Linked DNA regions of Drosophila melanogaster. The protein of the gene in region 3 interacts with the protein of the main gene of each other region in a pairwise test. Each region holds a gene or a part of one and is shown on either strand. Other genes may lie near its edges.

The links.
Region 1: the proteins of Syx16 (region 3) and HPS4 interact in a two-hybrid assay, tested with the Drosophila melanogaster proteins (one large-scale study listed by BioGRID).
Region 2: the proteins of Syx16 (region 3) and CG3918 interact in a two-hybrid assay, tested with the Drosophila melanogaster proteins (one large-scale study listed by BioGRID).
Region 4: the proteins of Syx16 (region 3) and PHDP interact in a two-hybrid assay, tested with the Drosophila melanogaster proteins (one large-scale study listed by BioGRID).

What each region holds. Positions count from the first base shown.
Region 1 is NT_033778.4:17,682,973-17,692,947, reverse strand, and holds HPS4 (Hermansky-Pudlak syndrome 4), read right to left. Parts: upstream 6,258-9,975; 5' UTR 6,093-6,257; coding exon 6,010-6,092; intron 5,691-6,009; coding exon 5,456-5,690; intron 5,393-5,455; coding exon 5,150-5,392; intron 5,095-5,149; coding exon 5,000-5,094; intron 4,942-4,999; coding exon 3,423-4,941; intron 3,366-3,422; coding exon 3,133-3,365; intron 3,075-3,132; coding exon 2,906-3,074; 3' UTR 2,126-2,905; downstream 1-2,125. Other genes in the region: swi2, read left to right, coding at 157-369, 522-1,005, 1,065-1,244, 1,312-1,860; CG42562 (uncharacterized protein), read right to left, coding at 6,610-6,841, 6,904-7,028, 7,082-7,105; CG42561 (uncharacterized protein), read right to left, coding at 7,550-7,793, 7,853-7,974, 8,044-8,064.
Region 2 is NC_004354.4:6,520,289-6,527,903, reverse strand, and holds CG3918 (uncharacterized protein), read right to left. Parts: upstream 3,441-7,615; 5' UTR 3,215-3,440; coding exon 3,110-3,214; intron 3,039-3,109; coding exon 2,178-3,038; 3' UTR 1,562-2,177; downstream 1-1,561. Other genes in the region: CG3342 (uncharacterized protein), read left to right, coding at 101-153, 228-1,536.
Region 3 is NC_004354.4:20,388,467-20,395,747, reverse strand, and holds Syx16 (syntaxin 16), read left to right. Parts: upstream 1-1,996; 5' UTR 1,997-2,105; coding exon 2,106-2,186; intron 2,187-2,260; coding exon 2,261-2,394; intron 2,395-2,456; coding exon 2,457-3,300; 3' UTR 3,301-3,414; downstream 3,415-7,281. Other genes in the region: HERC2 (HECT and RLD domain containing protein 2), read right to left, coding at 1-868; l(1)G0004 (lethal (1) G0004), read right to left, coding at 3,490-4,212; jb (jean-baptiste), read left to right, coding at 4,980-5,308, 5,365-5,493, 5,558-5,558.
Region 4 is NT_033778.4:23,880,665-23,887,726, forward strand, and holds PHDP (putative homeodomain protein), read right to left. Parts: upstream 3,777-7,062; 5' UTR 3,649-3,776; coding exon 3,372-3,648; intron 3,277-3,371; coding exon 3,083-3,276; intron 2,815-3,082; coding exon 2,623-2,814; 3' UTR 2,472-2,622; downstream 1-2,471. Other genes in the region: CG4882 (uncharacterized protein), read right to left, coding at 246-923, 1,057-1,396, 1,451-1,653; CG5597 (uncharacterized protein), read left to right, coding at 6,414-6,462.

The DNA.
Region 1 (9,975 bases), on a different chromosome or scaffold from region 3:
CCCAAGCAATTAAGTCTTGCCTGGCGTCTGCTTATCGTGTTGGCCCTAAAAGAGAGGCGCACTGCGGCTAAATTATCACCAATTTGAGGGCTGTCTGACCCAAAAATAGCATCATGAGATAGAGATTTATTTACTTACCAATTATCTGTTACTTAGGCTGAGCCGTGCCGCGGATGACAGCCATGAGACGAGCACTTTGTTAGCCACCATCACTACCATAACCACCGAGATCATTCCGATGCCCGATTCTGGGCGCAGCTGCTTCGGTTGGTCCTCCGCGCCGGAGGCAGCGGGCGGCAACTGCTCCAGATCGAACCGGAATGGAACACTTAAGTGCTATGGCGGAATGAATAACCTGGCTGCGCTGAAGTGAGTATTGTTAGATCTTTGTTTGAGTGAACATATAACTAAGAGATCTATTTAATACAAGTACCCATCGTATCCGATAGGTGGCGCATCAGATAATTGAAGCACTCTAACGCTCTACTAATCTCTATAATGGTTTTTCATTCCCATTATAGCCAATCTGGAAAGTTGAGTAGAGTCCAGCCCGCACTGGAAATGCTTCTGTGCGGCTGGCCAAAGGATGGTCTAAATCATTTCAGGGATCTTCAGAAATTGCCTCGCCTTCGATCACTGACCATCGAGTACAGTGGCTTCACCGAATTCAAATTCGACTTTCCCGAAATGTTGGAGCTACATACTATCAACATTTCGTGGACGAATCTCTCGTACATCTCATCGCGAACCTTCAAACGTGTGCATCCGCTCAAGGTCTTAGATCTGCGATGGAACCAGCTCATTCAACTGGATGGACCACTGTTGCTGCCCCGCAATTTCGAGCAACTCTATCTGGCGGGCAATCCGTGGAACTGTACGCGCAACTTCAAGTGGTTGCTGCTGCAGCCGGAAAAGGGACGCCTGGTGGTGGATCGCGACGAACTAATATGCACAGATCGAAAGTATAAGGAACGCCAGATGCTCATGGTCATGCACTACAAACTGGTGGGTAGCTGCTTATCAATCCTGCATCACTGTGATTACCTGATTGATTTTATTTGCAGGAGCTGAAGAGACAATGCCAATCGCATGAGGATCTAAGGAACTGCACTTGCCTAATGCATCACATCTTACCCAAGACTCACATACCGCTCTATACGGTCAACTGTTCCCATTTGCAGTTCCATCGCTTGCCTGACTTTTTGCCGGACAACACCACCACTTTAGTTATAAACGATAATATGGTAAGAGCATATTTAATATGAGCATATTAAAGCTCAATGAAAAGTAACTTACTTGATTTGTCATCAGATCAGTGACATAAATCCGCTGCGGGACAATCCCCACTACCGCCACGTTGTGGATATGCAGCTGGAGAACAATCAGATATCCAATGTGGACAACTTGGAGGACACTTACTGGCTGCAGAACTTCCGCTTGCTCAATCTGCGTGGCAACAATCTGCGCAAGCTTCATGTCTACGCCCTGGACAACGCTCTGGATGACAACGAGAATGCCAATCTGCTATTGCTAAGTCGAAATCCCTGGCACTGCACCTGCAAGTTTGGCAGCAGAATGCGTGAGCTGTTGACGAAGTACAAGGACATCGTGCGTGATGCCTGGAATGTGAGCTGCACCTACCGCCTGGATGACGACCAGCTGCTGGCCAAGGTGCTGACCCTCAGTCGCCAGGAGATGTGCAATTTAAGCGTGGAGGGCGGCACTCAGATCCATCCCATCGATTGGCTAAACGGGGTGCTGGCCAGCCTCATATTTCTTATCCTGGGCAAGCTTGCCTACGATTACTACTACTACAAGTATTACGGTCGAGTTCCTTGGATTGTGATGAAAATGCCCTAGTCTCTAGATCTAATGTTAAAGGAAGTTCAACTCGAAAGTATTTCTCAACCACCGACGATGGCTTTCGGTTTATTCTTGAAAATCTACAAAAACAATACCGGTCTTTGTATCATATATGAATATTTATATATATATATATAAATAATGTTGTTTAGGTATTTATGTATGTATATTTAAGCTAGGTCAACGCAAAACTCTCAAAATAGTTGTTTTCCACACTATTGCACTGTTCAAATTGTTTTGTATGGTTAAAAACATTCGTTCTCACGTTCCTACATATTTGACGGTTTATTTTAAGCATTTATCCTGCATTTAAATTGGCACAAAGCGCTTAATCTTTGATAATGAGAAACAGCTAAGATAGGTTTATGTTTGCAACTGGACAGAACGGAATCTGTGTGAATTTTAGGTTAGTTACACATTATTCCATTTAAATGAATCTAATTTTGTATAATGTATATTTACAATTAAAAACCTTGATTTAAATTCTTTGGCTCTCGAAATCAGTGCAAAATGTCGCATCTTTTCGGTCAAAGCAAATGCAAAATGATTAAAATAATTGTATAGGATACAAGCTTATAAATTAAACAACAGTGCTGGACATTGTAAACAAAGCTTAAAACATTTTTGTACTTTACATCAATCAAGTGAAAATTCAAACAAGGCTTAATATTTCGCTGGCTGTAAGCGGCATATCTAAAATTCTTTTGGTTTCCTTCGTGAGTCCATTGAATGGCGGTAAAAAAGGTCGGCAATGTTTCTTATAAATTTGTTGTATAAAAGTCGAAGTAAAATTTAGATCGTTTAAAATTGAGTTCCCTTGGTTTGCATTGTATATGATATGGAATCATTATCTAACCACTATACAAAAGAAAAGACTCACGAAGGAATCAGCCAGAGATCGCAAATGAAATAACAGTGGATGGCATTAAGTTGGCTATTCTTCGGGGACCCAGACTATCTGGTGTCCCCGATTACATTATCTGTTTTTGGCTAAGCATGCGAGTATTTAAATATGTTTATAATATACGATCCATTGCACAGCCTAGAACAGCATGTAGGAATGATCACGTTCCAGTCGCGACTTGGCGCGGGATTGTATATTGCCAATCGGATCCGAGGGCGGTGGTATGCCATTGATCTGATGGGTAGGTTCCTTGTAGAAGAACTCGGTCCTTCCATTCTTATGGCCATAATAAACGGAGTCGTTGGATCTATAAATATAAATATTAATAAAACCAAAGAAAGAAGGTTTATGATTGTTGAACATACCTCAAGATCAAATCTGTAAGATGATGACCACTGGAATGTATCGAGTGCATGCTCTCGAGGATATTAAGCTCTAGGGGATTCCAAGGGCCATTCCGCTGCAGAACATCCCACTTGGAGTCCACGCACATGAAGCTATAGTTGCTCCCGTCGCGATTGTCGCCCTCCACATTTACATTTAAGGTTTGATTCAGTTGAGATTCCATGTGCGGGAACTTGGCCACACAAATGTCGAACTAATTGGAAGATATATTAACAATGTTTATAGACGAAAAAAATATAAATTCACTTACCATCTTCTGCACAACCTGCTGTTGTTGACAAGTACCCTCCTCCATGAGCAATAATAAGGTCATATTCTGCTGTCCGCATATATAGAGTTCAGTTCTTTGCAAGCCATCTGGTTGAATTGGACCCGGAGGTTGAGCAGGGGCTGTGGTCAAGGCAGCCAATGCATCCACTGCATCCTCGCACTTCAGTGAACTTCGCCGTGGGAAAACCTTACTGGTTGTCAGCGGAGTTTGTATCTCGATGGGCGTTGTTTCGCTTAGAGCCAGAACAGATAGTTTGGCCATCAGGGGTGTTAGTGGTACTCCACCAGCTCCACTGCGTCCGGACGCACGCTCTCCGAAAGTAGATTCTCCTGCTGATTTCAATGGCAGCGTCATGGATCGCTTGTCCAGCGGAGTTTTGGCTGCGGAAACGTTGAGATTCCTATCGGCAGACGATGCTTCCGCTGCTTGCTGTCTCATGTGCTCGTCGAGCTTTTGGATCTCGGCGTTGAACTCCTGGAACTCGGCTACCAGAGCGGCTAGCTCGGCATCCTCGTGCGCCTGCTCACTAGCAACACCCCACAATTTACGATACTGATCCAGAAATTGCTGAAACAAACTGCGCGAGATCTGCTGGCCGTTAGTGTTGAATACCGGATAGGTGGGATCGCTGATGGTCCGCGAAGTAATCTTATCATCGTCCTCTATGAAATCTGGCGAATCCGAAGAGACATCACCATTACCGCTTCCATTTCGATTCACATCGGTTTTGAGGCCATGCGTAAAATTATTCAGTTTCTTGGAGATGGCGCGAAGTGCATCCTGCAGGTCTGCAGATGATTTGCGTCGTGTGAGCTGTTTGTTTGGATTGCTAATGAAGTTTTGAAAGAATTTCTCCACATCCACTTTTAGAGAATTTCGACGCGAATGTGTCTTGCCATTGGAATTGTGAATATCCTCCTCTTTGCCCTCATCTTCGGGATTTGCGCAAATGGACATAACATTGGCCACCGGCAGTACCTTGTTCTCGGTCATTGGAGTATTGCAAACGCTGGTTCGTCCAATGAACTGCGGATAGGAATCGGTTTCGTCGAAATTTATTGATGCAATGCCAGACTCCGGTAGCTCTTTGCTCTGCATGCTTTTTATACGCAACGGCAGGTGGGTGGGTCGCATAGATTTGGGCCTGGCTGGTGGTAGCTGTTCAACTGCTCCCTGCTGCTCCGGGGCGTGCTCCTCCTCGGGTATATGGGTAAAAATGAGCGACTTGTCCCGCTTTATCTTACGCTTGGCATACTGAAACGGCATACCATTTTGGGTGAGCTGAGCTGTGTTCATCTGCAGGTTCTGGGCGCGCTGTGCCTCGCCAGCTAACTGGCGGTACTGCATATGCTCCAAATAAACCACCAGCATCTGAACGCCGTTGGGTATGTGGAACTCAGGATGGTTGGTCACTTGCTCGGCCGCAGTGCGGATGTGCAGAGGATCGGTGAGTACAAGATGCTTGGTCACCATATCGCTCAGTTGCGAGGCAACCACCCTAAAAGACAAGGTATTTGAATTTACAATTTGTTCAGACTTTAGCCGGATTAACTGACTTGTTGTGGTACAGAATCGCTCCGCCAAGTATTCCCTTTGTCTGCTGGCAACTTTGCAACGTTTGTATAGCCTCCAGGAATATATGACTGGCCGTCTGGAAGAGAATCTTGGTTATCTAGGTAATTCGGTTTGTTACTTTAACCACTCACCTTTGGCATTCGCAGCCTCGGCACATTTTGAAATGTATTTCCGTTGCGCTGCAGCATCGGCAGATATGTTTCAAAGATGTGGTACAGTTTCTCGCTGAGATTCCGGCGGTTCAGGGCGGGCGGTGCAGCATACTGGGCATACAATGTCTGGACGTCACGGTGGAAAAACTTGAGCAGGGAACTCAGCAGATCAGCACGATGTTCCAACAGTTGATCTCCAATATTTCGATCAGTGCCAATTGCCTGGAAAACAGAATACTCCATCGGATTAATAAAAGAAAAGTGAAATTATGTGATTCGATTTACCAGAATAAAACGACCGAATTCCTTCAGCACAAATTTTCCATTCTGCAGCGCCAGGATGCGGGGATTAAAGAAGCAATCCTTGAGGAAATACGACGTGCCCATAAGCTGACCACACAGAGCCACCTTCTGGGAGTCGGACACCCAGCTTGGATGGAAGTAGAGCACCGCCGATATGGGATCATCCGCCTCGTCTGTGAGACACTCTGTGTCGTAGACAAACACAATCATCGTCTCCCTGTAAATTTAATAAAGTTCAAGGGTTATTGTTATTGAGACTTTGAGACGGGGAAATATATTTTAGCTTAGTTTCTAATGTTAAGGAAAAGCTTTGGAGAAATTACGTTCAACTATTTTCCCTTGTAAAATGTGAGCTGAATCTTAAAACTTGTTCAAGAATTGATACAACAAGTGCTGTAGCAAAACCGGTATGCAAAAAAAACTTTACACAAATACAAATTGGATTTATGCAATCTCAATTTGTTTGACGTTGTTTAATGCAATTCATTGTAGATATTTGTGCACTGGAAACACAGTTTGAGTATGAAATGAGCAACCTTTCGGTGAGGATTGAGGTCTGCTGCTTCTGCTGCACCTTCTGCCATCGCTTGTGCTTGGTTTTGCGCCAATCCCGAAACATTGCTCCTGAAATCTAGTGGATTTCGGTGCTTCCAAGTCTAGCGCTGCATCGTGGCTCCTTATCACATTTAACGACCGACGATTCTGATAAGTCAACAAGCCAATAGCGCCGTACAATGCCAACTGTCTGATTTCGATGTGGCCCAGCTGCCTGATACGACCAACTGTGATACGAGAGCGTGATCAGAATTCCGCTCACGCCCAAGTGAACCAGCAGGTGAGAAGTGAGGTGAAAGCTTCCGAGTGTTTCCATCATTGCGGTTGAGCGGGTGGGTATACGAGCAACTATGCTCTCGTATAATGTATTCATCCATGTGGTGACCACTTCAATGACGAAGGTATCGATTCCAGTTTTAGAGTGTAACAAATTCGATTACCAATGCTATATTTTATAAAAAGCTCTCGGAGGCAAATGATTTTCAAATATCATTAATAAGATTTTATATATGTTTAACAACAGAGACCTTGTCTGTTTTATTGCGCGTAATACAATGTTTATTTAAACTATCATAACAACTCTATCCAGCAGCTGTTTTCAACACATTGGGTGGCAACTGTTGAATCTGGTTCACAGTATCCGATTGGCTAGATATGCTATACTTGGCCACATATCCATCGGGACCAGCTTTGTAGGTGACCAGCAGGTATTTCGAACCAGGAAAACGCTGGCTATAAGTACCCTTAACTTGAAGCACATCTGGCGCAATCTGTTCAACAATCTCATCCCGCGTTGAACCGTCGAGATCAATCCTACAATATGGAAGCCATTTGGTTGAGCTTACAGCATTATCTTAACTTCATTTTTTGTTTACCTCAGGGAATAATTATTCTCAGATGGCACTAGCACAACTCCATTATCGTTTATGGGCGGCACGAATTTGGTAACTGAAGTTGTGGGCGCCGAATTCACCAGACTTAGAAACAGAATCAAAAACACCTGTAGCAAATATTATACAACGATTGGCAGGCAAACTTATGAGAAAAACTCACTGAGCTTAACAATAGGTTAGCCATGATGATCTTTTGGCTTTTGGTTAGCGACTGATGTTTTTAGATAGCTGACAGCAAACAGCTAACAAATAAACAGCTAAACTTAAACCAAGTTCAAAACTGGAATCATTAATAAACACATTCAAAAATCGTTCTCCGCTTATAGTATAGCTATAAGATGTGATTTTTGAATACTGTCAACAGGGATTTACATAACATAACAATAAAACTTGCCACAGTGAATCATTGACCGAGTCACCTAATAAGTTGCTTTAATAGGGCTTAGCCAATTAACAATAATAAGTATAACAATTTGTTATAGTTAAGAAAGTCTAGCTAGTTTATTGATTTCTATAAACTAGTGAGTGATTATAAACTTACTTATTGTTACTTATAAATACAGAATTGGTTTAATATAAATTACGGCAAGTTGTGGTTTTAATGTTTTCTAAATATTCAGTCAAAATCCTATCCCGCTGCAGTTTTCAGAGCACCGGGACTGAGGAATAATGGTGTGTCAGGAGGCGGTGTTGGAGGACCCTTGCCGAAGCTGTATTTGGCAACATATCCATTCGGACCAGCCTCATAGGTGACAATAAGATTGGCATCCTGATCCTCGAAGGGCTGGTTAATCACACCTTTAACCTGCAGATGTCCGGCTTCATTCTGGCTCACGGATTCCTGGCGAATAGTGCCACCCGGATGTTCGATTCTACAGATTCAGAACTAACTAAGTAAAGGGAAGCTCTCTTCTGGACTTTGATTAGCTACCTGAGAAAGTATTCTTGATTGAGGGGCTCAAGTTGAAAGCCATTTGTGCGGATTTGCGGAACGATAGTTGGTGAAATTTGCGGTGCCGCGTTGACCGCAGTGAAGATGAAAATTGCCAACAGCTAAATATTATTATGATTTGAAAATGGTATGTTTAAACTTTGATTTGCATATGCGAAAAGACTACTCACCGCGAAAAAATCGCGAGACATGATGACCTGTCTGTGGTTGAACAAAAACTATCTGAATATCTGAACGCTTGGTCAGTTTTGAGCCCAAAACGAAGGCTGGTTGATTTAAGTAGCAAGCAAACGAGTTTTGATTTTTACGATGAAGATACAAAAAAATCACACATCTGCTTCGCGAGAAACACTTCAGTACACCTACTAATTCAAATAATTGCAAAATTCCCATCTTATAAGGCAATTGAAAAAGGGACACAATAAAATCGACTCATCTAGCAAAAGCATTCGGTAGCCTTCGCTGTGACAATTAACTTGGTTCAAATCAATCTCCACACGTCATGCCCAATGCAAAATCATTCTGTCATGATAAACTTGTGACTACATTAAACACCTGGCCTATGAAATTTTCTTGGGGAGTTCCCAAGTCAAATTTTAATTCTTTCTACGTGAGATTCTTACAGTTCTAAAAAGTCTACCCCGGTATATGACTAATAGGATTTTGACCTTTAAGACACGGTCCAATTGGGACTTGTAAAAAATGATTTCTAAGAATTTGCTAAAAATAATTTGAAATGGAAAAATACTTAACTGAAAATAAGAAATAATAAGAAAATATAGAATTGTTTACCCAAAAATAAAAAAATTTTAATTGTAAAATTGTCAATTAATTTATTTTTAACAATATATGTATGATTACACAGTTTTTATAGTTGAATAATAAAAACTTTTCAATAATTAAAAATTTGACATAGAGACAAACTTTTGCATTATATATGCACTTTCTGTATTTATTAAATGTTTATACTAAAAGGTTTTTTCCATTATAATAATATCTATAAAAAATTTTTATAGAAAAACACTTAAGACCAATCAAATTTCATTTTACCGGTTTGCCAATCTTTTGAACTTTGACATTTTATCAATTTCACCGATCGGAATCGATACTTATCTCGGTCTTCTTCTTCCCCCTTTCCATCACACTTCCTGTGTATGTGAATGCAAATTTAATGGGCGAGGGGGTGGTGGGTGGCTGCGAGGGCGGAGGCTGCAGCTCAAAACAAACACAAAAATACCCCCACATACACAGCGCGCCGCCCACACACACACACGTACTCGCAGACGCAGGCACATAGACGATGTAAAGTTTTTCACTGTTTATAAAACCTTATCAATTTCACTTACTTTGCAGCCATTGTGTATTGCACTTGTAACCTCTCGTTGTCGGAAGATTATTGCACTTTATTTCTGCTTCATTTTATTCATTAGTTTTTATTTTTCTTTGCAGAGGAACTTACGGCGCTGCCATACCTTAGTGTTACTAAAAATCACCGTATTGCATAGCTGCTGGTAGTCTTCAATACTAGCATTCCGTTCGGTATATTTGTGTGGTATATTTTAGGAGGCCCACTGCGGTCACTTTTAAAATGGCCGTCGATCAGTGAAGTTGTATACACTTTTTTCGTGTTCCGTGTTTTTCGCTTAATTTGATCGTTTATTTAAATGTTTTTATGAATTTTGGTGAGTTGAAAAGCTGATCGAATGCAGCCTGCTGGCAAAGGATTCGATCGAAAAGGATTTTGTGCAAACTTCGAGTGCCCGAAATAGTGTTTTCTATCCCCAAAGACAACCCCCGCATAGCGTCTCTCACCTCCAGGCAACAACAACACACCCAAAAGAGACGCACTGGAAGCATAAAAAGCAACAAACAGGTTTTCATTGTGTACAGACGTGTGTTGCTCTACCCTCTCGCTCTCGCCCCCTTAATTTATGCGCATGCAGCAACAGCAGCAGAAACAACAAAACCAACAACATGTATAAAGCAACATAAGAAACAAGTAATACAAGAAAATAAATCATTGAGTGTGAGTGTGTGTGCGTGCATGTTGGCTGTAAACAGCAGCCAAAGTGGTAAAGTTGAGTCGAATCGAGTCGAGTCGA
Region 2 (7,615 bases), about 14 Mb from region 3:
TCTTCGTTTTGGCGCTTGGTCACACTTTCTGTTTCGGTCAAAACAAACTGAACAATAGTTAATGTTTTTAAACATTTTCGATGCGACTGCATAATTAGGCATGGAAATCGGCAACGATCAGTCCTATCAGGACTTCTTCGACAAGTTGCGAAGGTGAGTCTGTTTCTGGACGGGATTGGGACACTTGGCACAGTGGTATATACATATTAAATATATATGAACTCCAGTGAATCGGGTCCTCGCAACTTGCGCCAGATCTTTGAGGACGACGATCGTCCGCTGGCGAACGAATCATCCAGCTTGCGCTATCAGCCAGGCAGCTCCAAAAAATTGCAGGCTGGCAAAAGACCGGCCATGACCAGGAGTAGCACCCAGGAGACGGGTGATTCACCGCCTGCCGCCTGGAACACGGCCATTGCCAAGGTGGTGCATGCCTATCGGAGCAGCGAGAACGTTGGACGCGTCGGCCTGGCCCTCTCGATTCTGGGCGAGATGGAGGCCAGCAAGCTGATTGTCTACCGCAGCAAGAGTCAGGTGCTGACCACGCTGCAGTTGACACCGCGTGGCGGCAAGGTGATACTGCGCGAATCCTATCTGCAGTTCTACGATGACGAGCAGCGCTTCTGGAGCCTGCGATTCGACAAGGAACCGGATGAGAAGGAATTCATAACGTTTATGGTCAAAAACAAACTGCCAGTGGAGCACTATCTCAGCGAGATCTCATCCTCCAGCTCGGCATCGCCTTCGCGTGAGGATTTATCTAAGATCCGAACTAAAGCAACGGTCACAAAGACGACGCCTAATCCGCCACAGCCGCAACCACGTTCCCGCGTAACGCTGCCAACGCTGGAGAAGGCGGACGATGAGGAACGCGAACGGGAAACAGAGACACCTTCCAATGAGGATGTGATAGTAACGCCAGTGCCGCGACCCATAGGTTCGTCAAATGCTCACAGGAAACTCAGTGCCAGTTCCCTGGCGGTGGCCAACGCTTCAACGAGCAGCGATACTCCGTTGGCTGTGACGACACTGGACAAATATCTAGACGAACAGCGTGCCTCGGGTGCGTTAATGGAGCACAAGATGGACGCCATTCTGCAGGCCATGAATCGCATGGGCGGCCAGTCGAGTGTTGCGCCCAAGAAGCCCAGTGATCCGCTGCTGGAACGCGACAGCGAGGACGAGATGCTGGAGCTGGAGCAGAAGCTGCTCAACTTGAAGCGGGAGAATCGAGCGCTAATGCGCAACCTCAAGGCACGCGAACAGGCGCTGGAGGATCTACGCTGCTCGGCGTGCGCCCTTTGCGAGGAGCTACTAGTCCAGAATGGCGAGCTCAAGTCGCAGAATGCCCAGCTGTTGTTAGCCAGCCAGCATATTTCCGATTCAAGCACAGCTGCTTCGCCTGCCCATTGCCGCAATTGCGAGTCGTCTTCCCGGCAAATAGCCAAAATGCAGCTACACATTTCCGCACTGCAGGAAGCGCTGCGAATCTTTCAGAAATCAGGCGACTCCAGCTCCAGTTCGGGTCGGTTATAGCACCTAACGTAGGCGTATTATATATGTTCGGTATTACTATCGAAAAGTGTATTAAATCATTTGTTAGGTCGCGTAACATATCCACAAATACAAGCCAGACACTATTAGCTATCTTTAAGTCATTAGATTGCCATGTTATTGGGCTCATTTACAAAGCGATTTTCTAATCTATTACAACTATTATTACTAAATGTGAGATATAAAATATGTTGCGGAAGATTATAATTAATAGCAACCCATGCTTTGCTCTCTCTCAATTATGAAAAACTCCGACTTCCTCTTGTACAAACTAATTTGTTGTATTTGCAGCACACATCGGGCTGAAATTTAAGGTATAGGGACAAGTCTACGGTTTGCGCGTCTCATAATCCGTGGGAAGAGTTCATGGAGAAGTTGTTTTGGGGCCTGGAACTGGAAGTGGAACTGGCAGTCTCTCTGTGGAAGTGAGGAGCGGAAAGGATGGGCTGGCGGTCCTGCTCCTTTACGTTTTTACGGCTAAAATGGAAAGCGAGCTAGTTTGCGGAGCGAGTGCTTTGGGAGGCAGCTGTCTATCCATCCTGATGCTGATCCAGATCCAGATACAGATCCACATCTAGATTCTCTTGCTGATCCAGTTAATCCTTGTTTGTTTCTTTTCTTTCTCAGTAGGTGCTGCTGTCGCTGAGGCTGCTCAGGTAGCTGCTGCCGGCGGTCGGAGCACCGGATCCGCCGGCACGATGTCGCTTCCGCTTCGCCTTGGTCTTCTTGCGTCGCAGCATGGCCGTGTCCGTGGACTTGCGCTTGTACTTGCCCTGCCGCTTCTTCTTGCGTCCGTACTCATCCGATTCACTGGTGCTGGACTCCTCGTTGTCGCTGGAATCCGATTCAGACGAATCGCTCGATGTGGAGGAGTCATCACTCGAATCATCGCTCGATGACGACGATGAGCTGCTGGTTGATGACGAGGAGGAGGAGGAGGACGACGACGACGACGACGAATCCGAGCTAGAGGTGGAGGATGATCGTCGTCGTTTTGACTTCTTGTTGGTGCTGCCGCTGCTCGGTCGCTTGCCTGTTTTGGTTTTGGCCAGCTCGCTGCTGCTGTTGCTGCTGCTATTGTTGGTGTTTGTGGTCTTTTTGTGCTTCCGGCTCCTCTTCTTGCCATGCTTCTTGTGCCGCACCGACTTCTTGTCCTTGCTCTTCTCGGCCAGCTTGTGGCTGCTCTTTGAGTGGCTACGCTTCTTGTCCTTGCTCCGGCTACCCTTCTCCTTCTCTTTCTCCTTCACCTTCTCTCTCTCCCGCTCCCTTTCCCGCTTCTTCGCCTTGAGCCTGTCGCGGCTCTTGTCCTTGCTCCTGTCCCGTTTGCCTGCCGCGGGAAGCACCGCTGGCTCCGTTGGCGGCGGCACCTCAGCGCCACTCTTCAGCTCCTGGGCTCTCAGTTCGGTGAGCGGCGTAAGGTAGTCCAGCTCCGAGTCTGAGCTGGTGCTCTCCACATCCAGCAGGATCTCCTTGTTGGGGTCCACCTGTTCAGGATAGCGGTTAGCGGCGGATAAAAGCAACATAAACATGCGGTCTATGCGATTGGTGCGCTTACCTTGAGAAAATTGCGGCATTGGTAGGTCAGGTGACCGGCGTAGCCGCATTTCTTGCAGGCAGCCCGCAACGTATCCTTGTTGACGCTCGCCAGTGGGAAGTTCATGGTTGCCGCTCCGCTGCCGGTCGTACCTTTGCGGCGTTTGGCGGGCTGGGGCTGGGGCTCTGGCGTTGGGCGGGCTTGTCCACTGACTGATTATTATTTCGCCTCGCGCACCATTAATTGATATGTGCACAACAACAACAACAACGATACCAACAACAATGGGGTAAAAATGAAACGCGAGTTGAAGTAAATCGCGTTTTTAGTGCGGCCATGCGGCCGCGTTTCGAACATACCATGCCGGCAGCACACCGGTCCGCTTAGCCGTGACAAGCACCGATAGGCTGCGGTATGCTAGCTGGGGTGACACTGGCACGGAAATACCGTTGCCCGAACAAGAGCTGGTCACACTGCACGCCAGCACGGCTTAGTTGTTTACCAAATTTGAAGCTCTACGGTTGATCCGCGCATGAAAGGGCGCCATAAAACAATAAATAACTTGAAGAGACGAATCCGCGAAACGTTTAACAGTTATCATAATATCCAGCCTATTGGCGTAGTTCGCTGCGCCGACTGTGTTATTAACTACGCTGTTTGTTTTTGTTTTTTGCAAGTGCTTTTGAGTGCCGAAGTTAAAAAAAAAGTCCGTGCGTAAGCCAGCGCCAGTTCAATCCGCCCGCTTGCGTGAAGGACCCAGTTTTAGCCATGGCCCAAACAGAGGCCAAAACCACGTGCACGCGGCGTCGCCGCCAGTTTTTGCCCCATGGCCAAAATAGGCAGCAGCAGCTGCAGCAGAAGCGGCAACAACAACATTGTTAGCGGTTTCCACTCAAAAATATACCGTGTGCTACATAATGCCGTTAGATATTTGTAACGGCTTAGATCGCATACCGTTAATCGTGGATTGTGGCACTAACTGAACTGGTCGTACGATTGTTGTGATTATCCTTGCTGCGGATCCCGACTATTAAAAGTGGGGATAAGCATTGGCAACAGTTGGCAATTCGTAAGCAGTCATCAGGTGAGTGGAGAGTTCATTATAAAAAAATTAAATTGAAAGTGGTATAAAATTAAAAACTATGCACACTGCAATCGTTTAAAACGAATACGGTTAATTAAAAGAAAATGATTGCATAGTTAATTTTGTGCCATTTAAGTGTCGGCAGTTAATTCATTCGAGTGTCAAATTTCGTACGGTGCGACTGTTTTATTGTCGGCCAGTGTGACCAATGTGCATTGCAATGCATTCATCGCCTAGGCGACCAAAACCTCGGCGTATTAATTACAAACAAATTAAAAATTTTGCCTCGCCCGCTGCCCACGCCTTAATTAAAGACGCCAAAGAGTAACGGTAATAACCGACAACGGGAACGACGACCGTCGGGGGTTTGCGTTATTCGTTATTCGTTATGCCTTATTGTTGTTTTTGTACTGCTGAGGATGCTGCACGTTGTTGCACTTGTTGTTGTTGCTGGCGTAATTGTGCCAGACATCGTCGCTCATTCTCGCTAACGCTCAGACTGCACACTGAAAGAAAAGCTGGAGAGTGAATGCATCTAGTGGCTGCATTTCCGTATTTAACGAGCAGTGTGACCATTGCCTGCCAAGTAGTAAGCTTTAGCTTTGCATTTTTCATTAGTATGACATAGTTGGTTAGAGATAAAAGAGGATTGGTCTAATCTTTATAAATTGAAAGCATCAGCTAAAAGTATTAATATTTCAACTCCTGCACTTAAAGCATTAAGATTACCCGTTTTCATTTTGTATTTCTTTTTTTCCAAGTGGACCCCAAGCGCCACCCCCTAAAATCACCCGCACACGCCGCACCCCGCCCCGCCCCGTGGCCACATTTTCTTCTGGGTCCCTGCCTGCTTTTGTTGGCAGGAAAAAATAATAAAAGCTAGGGGCTGAAAGGAAAGGGGGGAAGGGGAGGGATAGCGGCAGGCAGATGGAAAACTGTGTCGCTTTCGCCTGCGTGCGGTGACTGCAAAACTGTTGCCCAAAACAAATGACTAGAAACATGGTTGTGCCCCACTCTGCCACGTCCGTCCGTCTTCGCCATCGCTGATTTATGCCAGCGGCAAAATTATGAAAAATTGTTGCAGCTAAATTTAAAAGAAATCTGAAAGTAAACACAACCGAGAAACGTACACCAACGTGGCGAAAATAAATAAATTCGATAATTTATCCATAAATTCTGGACTCGCAGCATTTTCGGCGTCAACGGCGGCTATCGGCCTTGGCTACCGTTGGTGCTAGTCGTGCTAGTGGTAGTAGCAGTAGCAGTGGCAATTGTAGTTCAACCATTCCACCCATTCAGACGGCCATCCCTCTGCTTTGTAGCAATTAACATGTGCAAATTTCTGGCCACATAAATTTCCGTAAACTGTTTGTTGCTCCCAGCGCCAAATCTCTGCGTCTGTCGGGAGGAGCCATAAATTTCTGGTCGCGATGGATGGGGAGTGTCCAGGAGCACAAGATCTGCAGATATAGATGGTAAATCTTTGGAGGCAAAGGCCAGATAAAGCAAGGAAATTGGCCAAGGAGATCAATTCTCAGAACGTAAATTACACGGATTGGGATTTTTATCTATCCAGCTAGACTGGCCTTGAAATGGCACAACCAAACCAATCATAAATTTAAGTCTTTTATTTATGATATATTCAAAGATTTCCGATACCGATTCCAAGCCAAGGTCTGCTAATTTAAAGCAAGAGATGCGTGACAGCAGTGCGACCAAACGCCATGGTAACGCATTTAAACGCATAAATCATCACAAAGTTATGTAGATGTACTATTGCTTAATGACACAATCAAAATATTTCGCTGTGGGCACAAATTTCCTTTTGCATTCACCGCAAACCGAACTCAAAACTGCAAGGTGGATAAGATGGGGGGGGCAAATTAAACCAGATCGAGCTCCATAAGATCAAAGTCGAATAAAGTGGAGCGTAATCCTTGCCGCCGGTTGCCATTACTTGAGTAAATGACCCTCCGGCAGTTCGACATCGTTAATAGTATATAGGATATATAGCTATATATGTGTGCATTCGTGTCATTCAGTGGCACTCAAAACTCTCAAGTTGCATTCAAAATTTAAGTGCGCATTTAAATACATGGCAGCGGTTTTTGCCTTGCCACCAAAACTTGGCGCCCCGAAAAGACCCAGATGAAGATGGAGATGGATAGATGGATGAACGGATAGAGTGTGTGTGTGTGTGTGTGTGTGTGCGATTGAGAGGACTCTTATGCGGTAGAGCAAGAGGGAACGAGTTCAAAGGAAAGGGACGGGACTAGAGCAGCTGAGCGTGCACCGCAGAGTCAAAGAAGGAGCTCAAAGTGGCTTACGCTTGACTGATTTAATGCATGTCAAAATGTCAAAATATATGCATGCACAAAGAAAACCGTTACATGAATCCCTTTAAACCACCCACCACCCAAGCCACCCACCGCCTCCCGCCTGTTTTCGGTCACAGATTCTCGGACTCGGAAGTCCCTTTGCCATAGTCAAAACAATTATAAATGATAAATGTCAAACAGAGATGGACAGTGGCAGAAGGAGAGAGATGACAGATGCTACACTGTCAGAAAATGTCATTGGGAATTTGCGACACTCTATGCACTCTATATCAGTGACATATATCATTACATCAGCTAAAAACATATCTACATGCTGAATGGTCACACCACGGTACTCAATTAGAGACAAGGTCACATTGCACCTTATATCAATGTTTGATTTATATATACGACCACAATTGTTTTGCGTGTATAGAAGGATGTGGAGCTTAAGGAGCGAAATGAACAGACAACGTGCAACATTTAAATATGCAAACTGGCAAACAAACACACAGATAACTCACACATATTAAACTTAATTTGGCGCAGCTCATTAATAAAACACAAGCAGGCAAACAAACAAATATGCACATACACTGAAACCTAGGCAGAGAGCCATTAAAACTTTAAAGTGTTGTCGCTGCGAGAAAGCGGTAGAAAGTGGGAGAAATCTGGAGTGGGTTGAGTGGGTGGGTTGGTTGACTGGCTGACATAATTTATGCAAAATATAAACCGAGCGACAGGCAAAAACAACTTATTAAAAAATACGTACAACAAACGAGCGACAGCTATAAATAACCTGGCCAAGTAAAAGCCATGAGCGAAAAAGGGGGCGGTCGCCGAAATGTCGGGGGAGTGGCAGTGGAGAACTTTTTCAAGTGGCTGCAAAACTGTAAACATTCCCCAACTGCCTTGCCACAACAATTTTCCCAGGACAACGGAGCATATGCACTGTGGCAGGACTCGGGGGGAAAACAACGGGGATCATACTATTTTACACATTAAAAATTAACTCCAAGCGCCGGGAGGCAATGTACAAATGATGCAGCTCAAAGTTTTCATTGAACTTGATTGGTTAATAAATTCATTTGACTTTTATACGTTTGTTTTATTTCGATGAATTGC
Region 3 (7,281 bases):
GTGACTCCACTGCAGCATTGGCGGTTGTGGCGGCAATGGTGGTGTTGGCGGTGGTGACACTGGCCACCGCCTGTGCGCTTGTCGTGGACTTGCGTTCCCGTTCCCTCTCCCTTTTCAGGGCCACGAAGTAGCGCTCGTAGATGAAGAGTTGCTGGCGAAGATGCTGGGCAGAGAGACAGTTGCCGGCTGCGCGTAGAGCTAGCTCCTGCAGCTCCGAGATCATAGAACGCTGGCAATCCAAACGCGCCTGCTGCGAAGGTGGCTGGCTCCAGAGCCAGCCGCTCAGAACCATGTCGGTGGCCTGGCTAAGATGGGCTGCTTGCTGGGCGGCAGCTTGGGTGGTAAGCTTTTTGATGGCCGTGTCCGAGTCCAGAGGCCGACAGCCGTCGCAATTGCAGGCGGAGAGAGGACCGCAGTACTCCGGCTGGCAGCAGGAGCACTTGAGCTGCTGAGCGCCGCAGTAGTGCTTGCCATCGTCGCCCAGGTAGGATAGTTGTCCGCGGGCATTTAGGAGCGGCGCGGTAGGCGACGAGACCAGCTCGCAGTCCTGGATCAGATGGTTCCACAGTACGGCGCCGTCGGCGGCGTTGCGCAGGGAGGCGATGAGATCGGCGCGCAGCCACTTGGCGTCCAGAAAGGGCAGCGGGCGCAGGTAGAGATCGGGCGAATGGCTGGGCGGTGCTGCTGATCCGGAACCTGATCCCGATCCAGATCCTGCTGCGGAGCCTGCTCCTGCCGCTGCTCCACTGGCACCTCCACCCCCTCCTACTCCAACTCCAGCGGAGACTGGTGCTGCAGAAGCGGTCTGGCTGGACCCAGCACCCTGGCCACTGGATCCGGCTCCTCCGCTCGCCTGGCGGTTGAACATGTTTGTGTTTTCGTGTTGCCTTCCCTAGTGCTCCACCGCCGAAGTCAGGCTAGAAACGAGCTCGACCACAACCACAACAACGACAATGGCATGGCACAGTTACCCCTTCAAGGGGGGTGTGGTGGTGGGTTGGAGCGCGGGTGGGGGCGGGGGCGAAGGCGGGTCAATGTCGTCACTGGCACACACACTAAGCACACGCACACGCGCGCAAGCACACACACAACTGCAATCGGGCGTCCAGGATCAGGATAATTCGTTGTTATCCTTGTCCGCACTGCTCATTTCGTTGTTCCGCTCGGAGTTAGTTATGACATCCTGACTTTTCCACCCGCACTTGAACTCTCCGTTTTCCGCGCTTGCTGCTTTCGGGTCACAATTGGAAGTGCCAGTTACCAGTACAATGCAATTTGAAATCAAGGAATTATTTTAAAATGAAATAAAATTGTTTGATGGCAATCGATATCAGGGGGAGGTGCAAACTGACTGAGCTATCAAGTAATCGATATCAGGGGGTCGAGCCATCGATATGTTTTGCCTTTCGATAGCTCTTCAGTGTTCTTAAGTCACAGGCTTGTGTCACGGATTAAAACCCAGTACAGTGGAAGCTGGCTATTAGAAAACGTTAAGCCAAACTCATAATGAGTTCCCTAAAATTCTGTAAATTTGTAATTTTTAAACATTAGCCTAAAATGTACTTGATTCTAAAATCATTTACAATATCATTCGGTTATATTACTCTTTCGTAACGCAAAAAAAGAGAACGCACATAACAAATTATTGAATACTTTTATTGTACTATTACGGTCGTTTTATTGCTAAAAGTATTGCATTTCAATTTACGTGACGGTGTGTACAGAATTAACTTTATAAATTGTTGAAACTCAACAAAGCAATACTATATTCTGTAATTTCCGAATATTTCTATTGGAGCTATCCAATCCGTATATTGAAAAAATCACTTTCGCAAATAGGATGTTTAGGAGTATACATATAAAGTACAGATTCTACAGATAATAAGAAAATAATATTTAAAATAAGTATAATTCTCGGACATGTAACGGTGCGTTCAGGCCAGGGTGACCAGTTCGTCGTGGCGACTATCGGTATTCTGGGCGAGCAAGTCAGCGGGCACACTGCGCTGCTGTGTCAAAACGAAACTGGAAAAAATCTGATTGAGTTTTCAGCGGACTTGGATCAATCCTTCCAATCCCCAAGAAATCGGGAGCAGACGGCCAGGATGACGTCGCGCAACCTGACGGAGGTGTTCGTCATCATGCGCAACAATGCGTCCAAGAACCGGAATCACTACGACGATCGGGTGAGTGCGTCTCCGTCTGGGGTCTTCACTGTTATCATCAACTAACATATGTTTTGCGTTTCTCCGTCTTCCAGAGGGGCAGCGATGCGGAGCGCCTTCTAAAGCACTCGGTGCGCGAGGCGGAGGAGGGACTGGAGCTGCAGGACGACTACGGCACGCCGCCCGCCTGGCTGGACAAGTTCGAGGAGGCGCAGTACACCATGTCTAAGTGGGTAAACAAACAGTAGTCCATGCGCAGGGTTCAACTTCACTCCCATCACTCGTTTGCAGGATCAAGCCTAAGCTGGATGAACTGGGCTCCCTGCACGCACGCCACCTCCTGCGACCCGCCTTCGATGATCAGCGGGACGACGAGTGCGACATCGAGGTGCTCAGCCAAATCGTCTCCAAGCTGATCACCTCCACGCACCGGCACATCCAGTGCGTGCGCAGCAGCATCGGCGTGGGCAGCAAGATGGAGCAGTGCCTGACGGTCAACGCGGTACACTGCGCCCTGCTCCAGCTGCAGGAGCTGACGGTGAAGTTCCGTGCCAGCCAGAATGCCTACCTGCTTCAGCTGAACTCCCGCGAGGAGCGCTCGCAGAAGTACTTCGACGACGGCGGCGGCGCTGGCGCTGGAGACGTCTTCACAAACGTGGAGCTGGGCGAGCAGAGCGCCGAGAACTTCGTCGACTCCTTCGACAACTTTCTGCAGCCGCCGGCGGAGGGCAAGTCCGGCAACGGCTATCTGTTCGAGGACGACGAGCAGGCCATCGACGATCACTTCCAAAGGCCGCCGGCCAGCCGGATGACCCAACAGCAGCTGCTGCTCTTCGAGGAGGAGAACACGCGGGTGGCGCAGCACCGCGAGCAGGAGGTGACCAAGATAGTCAAGTCCATCTACGACCTGAACGACATCTTCAAGGACCTGGGCCACATGGTCCAGGAGCAGGGCACTGTGCTCGACCGCATCGACTACAACGTGGAGCAGACGCAGACGCGCGTCTCGGAGGGATTGCGCCAGCTGCACAAGGCGGAAATGTATCAGCGCAAGAACCGCAAGATGTGCGTCATTCTCGTCCTGGCGGCGGTCACATTCTTCATGCTGCTGCTGCTCATCCTGACCAAGCTCTAGTTGCCCACGCGCCTCCAGTGGGCCGACCTCATTCCCGTCATTCGCTGTGTGTGTTTGTGTATATTGTAAATGTTTGAATACATGTTATTATATTTATTATTTATTGCTAATGCTAAAAAAAAAACCGCAACTACTCCCTCTCAAGTCGAACTCCACTCCAGTCCAGTCCACTCCAGTCCGCTCTCCCAATCACATGCGCTCCGAGAGGCGCGAGGCGACTGCCCGCAGGTTGCCATACACCTTGCTGGGCGGCGAGCCGAGGATTAGGTTGCAGACGGCCCGGCGCGCAAGCTGAATGTTCTGGTAGCTGCCCAGGATGTGGATCTTGCTATCGGCTAGCACGATGCGGGTCTTGGTCACGTTCTCGATGGTGAATTTGGTGCGGCCGCCCTTGCCGGCGAGGCGGCCGATGGCGCGAGACTGGTGGTCGCCGCGCAGCGTCTTCACGTCCTTGATTTCGAACGACTCGACGAACAGGTCCTCCAGACGCAGCAGGGCCAGGGCGTCGTCCACCTCGAAGCCGCAGAGAAAGGCGCGCACGAAGTCGGCGCCGCGCTGCAGGTTGGCTATGTCCGGCGTCTCGGGGCCCACACGCAGCTCCACCTGGCGCGCCTTCATGTTGAAGCGGATCTGCAGCTTCATGTGCTCCACCACGGGCGTAAAGATCTTCATCCAGTGCTCCTTGAGCGAGGAGTACCTGTGTGGCGGCACGGATACCTTGCGCAGCTCGCTTCTGGCCCGCTTTGCCTTGGGCGGCGCCGATGCTCGCGAAGATCCCAGCACCTGGCCCTCAATGCCGGTCGCCTCGTCCACCTGCATCTCCACGTCCTGCTGCCCGCCTCCGCTGGCTCCGCGCTTCGTCGCTCTCTTCGCCGGCTCGAATGCGTCTGCTCTGATGTTCTCTGCCTCCATGGTGCAATCTGTTGTGCTTTTACTGCGTTGTTTCCAATAATTTCTCAATCCAGCTGCTTTGTCTGCTCCACGTGCTCAGTGTGACCGCGCTCGAATCTGAGATTTCAAATACATCTGTAGCTGAATACCACACCACTGAATTTCGACGAAAATACCAATGCGTATGTACAATTCTACACTGGCTAAAAAGTATGTAGAATGTAGAATTCCGAAATATAATACGCCTGAATTCTTGATAAGAAACATCATTGGATTTGAAGGCTGATTGAAGTGCGAATTCATATTTGATCACTCATTGAATTATTGCTGTTTCAAAAGTAATAATTCAAGTACAGCCTAAAGCTATAAGGTGACGTCACTGTCATATAGAACAACACAATGTAAATTCTCAAAAGATGGCAAAGGGTACCGAAAGGAATAATGGTTTCTGTTAGGCCCATATATATGTATATATATACTGTTATATATATACTGTTAATATATAATAACAGTATATATGTACATATATACTTAATCTTAATTTTGGAATCATATTCAGATAACTGTTAATCAGCTACAGACGAGTGGGATAAATATAATTTAAATATATCATAATAATTTTATAATATATATAATATAATTAAATATAAATCATTTTTGCATAATTATTAAATGCAACCCTTTCATTTTCAATCAATCAAAAGGTAGCCTATTTTTGACATTTGGTTTGCTTTGGTCCCTATTGAATTCAGTTCACATCTAGAACCCGTACCGGAGAAACCATTTCCATGTCACAACGGAACTTCAAGATGCCAAATCCGAACAACGAATCCCATTCCTATTTCCTCCGGAATATTCCGGAAGAATTGCAGCCTCAGTTTACGCGTGGATTCAATCAGTGGATGGGCAATCAGTCTACGATGACTAAGGGTTTGCCATCCAATACAGTGAATAAGTCTGCCCAGACGGCATCTGTCAATGATGGCAACTTGCAAGCTAGCGTGATCGCAATGCTGGCAGGAATGGACTCGATCTTGGACATGGAGCAGCCTAACAGAAGTCCTTCGCGCGAAGAGCACGAGCGCCTAAATGAGCTGTTGTTCAGCAGCAATTTGCTGTGAGTTGAAGTAATTCGTGGTGAGAGTCCTGACATAAAGTTCATAGTTTCATTAGCATGCTGGACGTAAAGAAGCGAACGTTTCCCGTGGAGGACCCAACTGGGTATTTAACTTCGGTTTCAGAGCAAAATCCAGATGGGAATCCGTTGGCTAAGCGACTAAAGCTAGAGCGTCCTCAGGGCTGGTAAACAAGTCTCACGAGGAATTACCTTCATTCTACACATATTCAATCATACATATCTTTTCAGACACTAATGACCAATGTCTCTTCCTCAGAGTCTCTCAACCATACAGGACATTAACGAACCATTAAATAAATCACTATAAAAATAAATCACAAAATAGTTCAGAAGAGCCGTTTTATTTTACCAGTTAAGGTCGGTAATTGAAAGAGTTTCGCAAAAGAGGCACGCAAAAAGGTATACATACATAGCTCATACACCTTTAGCTTAGTAATGGGTATCCGATAGTCGATGGTCGACGTGGAGTATGTGCATATGTATATGTGACTTTTTAATATATAAATATACATATATGTATGTGTTGTGTGAATATAAATTCGTTTATAATTGGGGAACGGCATTAGAATGCGAAAAGGTAATATTATTAAGTGAATTTAATGTCAAAAAGGAAACCATGAGTGTCCTGCGTGGCATAGCAGCTAGCTTTTAGGCCTGTGCTCGCCAATCGTTATCGAAAGATGGCAATCGAGTAAGCGGGTAAATTGAAGTTTAGCCGCAGGCGGGTATTAGGTTTTCAGATTAATGGTGGTCAGCGTAGGCGGCGCTCCTCTCGCAGCCATTAAAAGTTTCTGGGGATGCAATGGGACTTACTTTTGCATCAACCGCAGCGATAAGAAGGCCATTGCAATGCCTCCTATTGGCCTGCACTTGAAGCAAAGTTAAGTAAGCCAAAGTGGAGTTAAGTAAAGTTAAGAGCGAGTAATGCGGCCACCGCAGGCAGGCGATAATCTCAAGCTTGCAATTGCACTGGCAATTTGTTTGTTATCTTCTCCGTTTCCGGTTCCCCACGCCCTTTCTCGTATTTCTTCTCTTCCACCTCCTGACCCTTTTCCGGCCTCTTGGGAAACTTTTCCATGAGCATGAGCTATTTGAATAAGTACACTGGACAAAACTTGCTTAAGAACTACGGAGTATTGAAGATGCAATTTATATATATATAAAACATACATACTTAGCATCTGCTATCTATTCGGATATTGCAGACTCCATTGAGATCCAGTTTCTATTATCTAAATATTTTTTTTTTTTTTGTTTTGGGGTTATTCAACACACTGATGTGGTTTGAATATTTCAAAACTTGGTACGTTGAAGTGTTTATTTTCTTTGTAAAAATCTTGATTTTGATACAAACTTACAAATGGTTATAGTAAGAAGTGGATTAACCAGAAACTTTTCGAGTCAGTTAACGATGCACGTTTTAAAAAATAATTGTGTATAGCATCAGAATTTACCTACTCCTTTCATTTCGATCGGTGTCCAAATTGTTGATACACTTATCTGGGCATTTAGGCATTTGAAACTGGGACTGCATATATCCGCCAACCAGCTGAGCTCAGTTCCTTCTTTTTTTAACAGTGCAAGGAATTCGTGGGCGATATGAGTGCAAATTGCGTTGGCTTTCATTTGGCATGCACTCATTTGGGTTATCTGCTCGCCCACTTAATAAGCTTAATGACTCTCGAAGCCGTTGGCTGCACATGATTTTGCCAGCAAAATCGCCTAAAAGCGCTCGCCGCTCGAGTTGCGCCACGCCCACTTCAGCCGCACCGCCCACCTCGGAGATCCTTGGTAGCCTTGGTAGCTCCGAAAACGACGACGAGCGCGAGATGAAAACGCGAATACACGCGCAAGGGCCTCAAAGGTTTTGAACGAATTGCACCAAAGTTATAATTAGTTGAGCTTAGATTCGGGCCAGGACCTCAAAGGCGAGCATGTATCCTGCGTCAGCC
Region 4 (7,062 bases), on a different chromosome or scaffold from region 3:
TAAGGATGCAAAAATTTATGGAAACTCCAAAGAAAAAGTATAAAAAAAATGTTGTAAACTGAGATGGAATGAATATAACTGTGACCCTCAATGTTACGTTATGGTAATTTTAAACAATTTAACGTTCGAGAAAAGAAACAACATTTGAATTTGGATTAACTCTCCAGTAGTTTAATTAAAGCTTAAAAACAATTGGATCTAACTTGTTTGTGGCCAGGAGTTGTCGTGGGTCCACGGGTTGTCCACTAGCCGTTGTGCGTGATAGTCGGCGGCACATAGAAGGTGTCTGCTGCCTTGGGCTTCTTCTTTTTGCCGAACCAGCGCTTGGGATAGTAGACCTTCTTCTTGTAGATCTGGATGTCGATGTCGTCCCGGTTCTCGAAGAACCACAGGTTCTGCCGCTTCGCCTCCAGTTCGCTGAGGGTCTTCTGGATGGTGGCCTTACGCTCCTCCACGCTCTGCGAATCCAGTTGTCGCTGCACCGCTGCCTCAAACTTCTTGGCCCACTCCTGATACGACTCGCCGTAGTCGGCCAGCAGTTTGGGCTCAAACTTCTGCACATTGGCTTTGACGCTGTTCTCCAGTAGCGATTGAATGGCATTCGATTTGCTACTCTTCTCAACGGCTTCCTGCAGGGACTTCAGCAGCTCTTCGGATCCCTCCAGCTTGAGGCTTTCAACTATGCTCTGTGCGGCTAAAAGAGTCTCCTTGTGCAGGGCAGCTGAGTTCGAGGCCAGAAAGCTGGAGGCCTCGGGCACTTGTCCGGTTAGGACATAGCCAAGTAGGGCAACGTTCTGCTTCAGCTCTTTCAAGGACCCTTCGCCGGAGCCCAATCGAACCATGGCGCGACCCAGTTTCTTCTCTTCGGTATTTTCGCTGGCGTCGTCGGGGTAATTGCGAATGAACTTCACGCGAACTTTTTCCTAGCAAATTCAGGTATGATTAGTAAACTTGGTAAAATGCCAAAATGAACAAAATCTTAAATAGCTATTTATGAGTGAATAAAGTTTCCAGCCGCTTAGCTGATAATTCAGCCACTATCGAAAATCATCTTACCACTTCAACATTTTTGGCAGGAGGTTGAACTTGAGAGGACTCGAAGGGCTTGAACTCCTTGGCGAAGGACCAGAAGGACTGTAGGGCCAGGGACTCCAGCAACTCGTTGTTGCATAAGTTTCTGTCCACGAGAATAGTGGCCAGCTGGGCAGATTCCACCGCGTGGCCATTGTGCAGCAGGAAGTCCAACAGGAAGCAGCCAGAGAACTGGTCCACAAAGAGCCCGTACTGGATGGGATTACGGAGCACCGATATCGTCTCCTGCGGATTGGTGGAGTCCAGCAATTGCTTGACCAAGACACTGGGAATCAGCGGCACCAAACTGGCCTCCTTCTGTTTCCTGCAAGAGTTATCTTATGAGTAGGGACACTACTTCCAATATGGCCGCACCCACCTGAGCTTGAGCAGCCGGTCCACCAGGTCCATGGGACGGTTATCCGGATTGACGAACACATCCAAATCCACACTCGTTACGGCATGACTGCTGCCTGCGGCGAATTTAGCCGGTCCCTCGTGCGCCACCTTGTTGAATTCCGCCGAGAAGTAGGACACCAGTCTCCTGGGTGGCAGTGCGCAGGAAATCCTCGATCGCAGCATTGTCAATTGTCTTTTTTAATTCATAAAGTGTTATAACCAGCCGATTAACAAATAACATGCAGCTGGCCAAAAGAGCAACAAAATCCCTAGCGCGTTCGCCAGTTAATACCGCAGATAGCGGTATTTTCGTATTCGAAAGCATTGAGGGTATTTCGACTTATAATATGTTGCTTTTTCCGGGAACGATGGAATTGAAAATGTCCTTGGAATATTTGAATAAAATAATTAATTTGAATTCTTTTATTCTAAATGAAAAAACACATAAAATAATCAAATCAAATTGCAACAAAACTATTTAAAAAACGGAAGAGTACGTTTTATATATAGTTAAAAGGCTAAATGATATTTGTATATTTATGTATATATTTAATATCTGTATATACGTTTCACTAATGAAGTGTAGAAAAATGTAAAATGAACAACGATTTCACAGTTTATTAAAATCATTCGAGGGTGTTGAAAGGCGGGCACTACTTATAAATTGCAATATTAAGTTATACATCTGGGCACATATGATTTCAATAAACTGCAATTCAATCTTGATCTTGTTAATTAGATCTGAAAGGTATTCACCGCCAATCCCTGCGGTGGGCACTCCACAACAATTGCTATATTGAGCGCACCGAATCGCCACCATCAACTGATTACACGCCCTAATGCCGATCCAATCCACTTTTTCCACCCGATAATGGGATGACAATTTACCCCTGAAGGGCGTGAGGTTTGGTACTTGTAGATGGTGACCCTTCAACCCCCATTCAAGTCCTTGTTTTTCTTCCCACAGGCTTAGCCGGCTGAGCCCTCAAAAGGGTGCTAAGCCAGTTGTCCCGGATGATATGAAAACAAGCAAAGTGTTACACAGATCTTATTTATTTAACGCAATTCGCTCCAAATAGTCAGTAAAAATAATATCAAAATAACTGCATTCATCAAAATGTATACTAATATTTACATAGATATTAGTGGATTCTATATTTGATCGTATAAGCATTTCATTTGACGGCCATGGCCATTCTGGGGTCCCTTGAGAGATGGGCCCAGGTATTTCGATCCTGCTACAGGATTCTTCCGGCCATCCAATTTGCTCGACTTGTCCTTCATTATGTAAATGGCATGCCTCTCCTGCTTGCGAAACTTGGCTCTTCTGTTCTGGAACCAGACCTAAAACACACAATGGTTTTTTTTTTTTTTAATTTCGATTACTAAGTCGTTTTGTATCCTTCAACAGGATATGACTAAATTCGTTTCGATTGTAAGCTGGCTTCGAGAAACCTATAATATTTGAACCTATCAACAGCAGATCGAGTTCTTTTCAATAGTTATATTATATTATGTAAGTATTATTTGTTATATGTTAATTATTGAAATATGTGTATCCTAAACTACCCACTCACTTAACCAGCAATTCAATCTCATTAGTTTTCCTCACCTGAACTCGAGCTTCCGTCAAGTGCAGCTTGGATGCGATCTCTTCCCTGGTGTAGATATCTGGGTAGTGGGTTTCCAGGAAGATCTTCTCCAGCTCGTTCAGCTGGTTGGACGTGAAAGTGGTGCGAATGCGCCTCTGTTTTGATTTGTCGGTCAGGCTCAAGCCGTCGTCTCCATAGGACTTCAAATGGAAGTCTATGGCGAGGTGAGAGTTGGTTCAAGATTACAATCCATAATCGATCCATCCAGGTGCACTGGCTGCAGGTGGAACTGATGGCCACTGTACTTACCCGTGTTGTAGGAGCCAATGTTATGGGTGGCCGGGTAAAACTCGGAGACAGTGGTGATTTTGGAGAACAATAAGCTCGACTCCTGGTTGAGGGAACCCCGGATTGCGGACTCGTTGGCGCAGAGCTTGTAACTGGAGTCAATCATGAGGTTGTAGTGATTTATGTGATTGGCCACGGAGAGTCCTCCTCCATTGGCGCCGCTGTTGTAGAACTCCGAGTTCGCGGTGTACAAACAATCCTTGTCGAAGTTCGCCTTGTTGAGCAGTGAAAATTCCATCGCATCTGCAGGTAAATTCACACACGGCACTCGATTGAAATTTTACAGCCCGCTAATGAGTCATTCGGCCATAAAACACATAGTTATAGTAGCTCCGCGGCCGCACACACTTTTAACTGCCCTTGAATAAATAAGCTTCGATTACGATTGTATCAACTACAGGACATCCACGTTGGACGAACAAGGATGCTGCACTTGTCTCGGGAGAGCGGGACGGAAAATTTCATTCGTTTCCGCGTTTGGAGGCGGTCCTAACGAGCTCCACTCGACATAGGGGTGGAAATCTGACTTTCCGGCGCGTGTCGTGCACTGCGCGAAAATTCACCGCATTTCCCCAATTGACTTGTCACAGCATGTCTAAAGAATTGGTTTTGGTTTTAATTTCATTGATTGCATCGCTGTCTGTTGGCTCTGATCTAATCTTCACTCAGAAATCTTCTTTTCAATGAATATTTCTTCAAAATCTGAATATTTTCCAAGCTCCATCTTTAAGCGAACTTTTCTTTGAGTGCACCAATTTTCACAGGCCTCAAAAAGCAACACTCAGAAGATTAAATTGGCTTATCGGGCAACCATGACGCTGGGATGTCCTGTCTGAGCGATTAAAGGAAATGCTTCTCTGGGATAATATAAAAAGTAAGAAAAATGAAAATCCTCTTTACGTTGCAATAACTCTTAAGGAACAGCCAAAGTAACATAAATTATAAAATATATTTAAACTTCATATATGAAATGGAAAGGGTATCGGACAGTCCGTCATCACGAGTACAGCACTTCGCCAACTTGATAAAACAAATGGTGTTGTACCGCACACAATGGATAAGAGACACCTTACTATCTTTTCTTGTTTATAACATTGGGCTGATTGAAACATTGTTTAAAGTCACTGGCAGGATACAACCCCTGTTTTCGGAAACAATTATTTGCTCTGCGGATTATTTCGATTAGTTAATTCCTGCTAATCAGAGTCCTGCCTAATTTTTATTTACTCTGCGCTGAAGTCCTTTTTTTTTTGGACACCCTAATGCTGGATTGCTAATAGGATAGGCTGGTTGTTCCATGTGCTGAAGCCATTTAGTTAAATTTTCAAAGAAAAACAGTTCCAAATTCAATGTATCTATCTTCGGAAACAATTTCATTGGGATCAGTTTAGTCAAACATACGAGGTAAAAGTTTAGAATGTGCCTCTTTTTCCAGTTGAAAAATGGTCTTAGTTGCCTTTGTGGATTTTACACATTTGCATGGTAGAGTGAGCCTTTTCTTTTCTTAATCAACGAATTGGAACGACTAAGTCTCTAGGAAAACAAAGCCACCTAATAGATGCACATCATGCTCAAACTAACACTCGTGCAAAAAGAAACTCTACTTTGTAGTAATCATTACTTAAATCGCAAGTCTATGTAAATCGGAGAATTGTTATGGCAATCATAATAATACAACATTACGACATTCCGAAAGTTTTGGAATAAGTTACTGTGTTACATTTTAGGTTAAAATATATCCAATATATGTGTAAAATTATAACCTTTCCAATTGTAATTGTATCAAACGCAAAGATATGAACTCATTTTACATTTAATAAATAGTATAGTAACCAGATGTTGGAGGTGATCGACCTGAACGAAACCCACCTGCATTGTTTGCTTAACCCGATCTCAAACCCACCCCGAAAATCCTGTAAAAACAGCAACATATTATTTAGTTATAGAGCATCTAAATGGGAAGCTAGTTTAAGTAGGTTTCAACCTAGTTGTGGGTGCAAATGAGCCTGGAACTACATGCATCGAACAAGTATCAGGTTCTATTGAGTCATTCTGAAAACAACTAACGTTAGTTTGGAAAACATAAAGTAAAGAAAAAGGGTTTATCATGCATAGGTGTGTGTTGCACTTACACACTAACTTGGTATAGTGAAGGCTTTTTCTTTTGCTAATCACCGAGTTGGAACGACTAACTAAGTCTTTACAAAAACTCAAGCATATGGATATACTTAAACCTATGAGTAACTGAACGGCTAATACCCTAAGATTTATTCAATTGTAAACAAATTCGAGAAATTCGACTTAAAAATGCCTTCTATCGGAATTTCAACAGAATTACAGGAATGTTAATGATCCCTATTGCCATGGAGACAGCATATTATTAACGCCAATCGTTACAACAGCCCTTAACTTCGGTCGAGAAGAAGAAAAGGTCCTTAAGGACTACGCTCGACACCCCCTGTCCTTTAACGGTCTTGCATGTTACCCTCGACTATCCCTAGTTGTAGGAGTGCGCCTCAGCTGGGCGGCCAACTGGTTTTCAAATAGTCAACGGCAGCTAGGAGCAGCGGAGAGTATCGAAGCGGAAAGGTTGTGTCCAACCCCCACACATGCAGGGCGACTTGGTTGGTGGTGGTGCCTGGCCAGCTGCGGAGCGATCTCCCCACATGTCCATGCAAAGATCGTGCTTGTGCTCCGAGAGTCGCGCACAAGTCAAGTGGCACGGGCTATGCGAGGAGGAGGAGGGTTAGGGTAGGAGGATCGTGTGCCGGAGAGGAAGTGCCGGCATTATCTCGGCTAAATTCGAATTCGTTTGGTTACGCTGCGTGGTCTTGGCCAAGAGCTCTCGTTCCTCATTTCTCGGTTTTCAGTTTTCGGTTCTCTGGCGGCCAAGAGCATTTAGTTGCCTTAGTTGTACCATGCCGAGCGGACCGCTGAGTTAGGATCGGTTGAGAAGTCTGGCATACGAGTGGAAGTGGAAGTGTAGATAGGATAGTGACCGTTATGGATACCCTGCTGATCGCCATTCTGGCCATCGGACTGCTCCACAGAGGTACAGCCAGATCCTGTGGCGATCCAGCCAGCAACCGATATGGGAAACGCGATTTTTAAATTAAGAAATGAAATCATTCGGAAGGCGCATATAAACGAATTTCGAATGCGCAAACCTTGAGAAAAATAATGACAAATCGGATATCTATAAATACGAACGTATATCCACATTCGGTTCTGAGTTAACATGTGCTAAAACGGAATATAAACAATATATAAACAATATATAAACAATATGTGCAGATTCGATTATCCTTTAATTTGTGGATTTGAACGGGCTGAAGGATTTTACGTGCAATTATTCGTGTTCGAAACTATATGTTTTTCAATGTGGAAAAAGCGCCAGTGGTTTTGAAGTCGGAGCAATAGATGCTAAGTGGAAAGCAAAAGATTCCAGCGAAAGGAACCTAATAAAATTGAACAGAGTTTTCAGAATTTTGGCACACATGATGACAAACTGCCGAATGAAAAATGTTCAATTTTCTAGCTTTTGTTTGTTATTAGTGTCTATTTTTAAAACGAAACAGGCATCCGCTCATCGCGTTTTCGCTTCTCGTAAATATACGCTTTCGCCAAATTATATAGATTTTTGTGTACAATG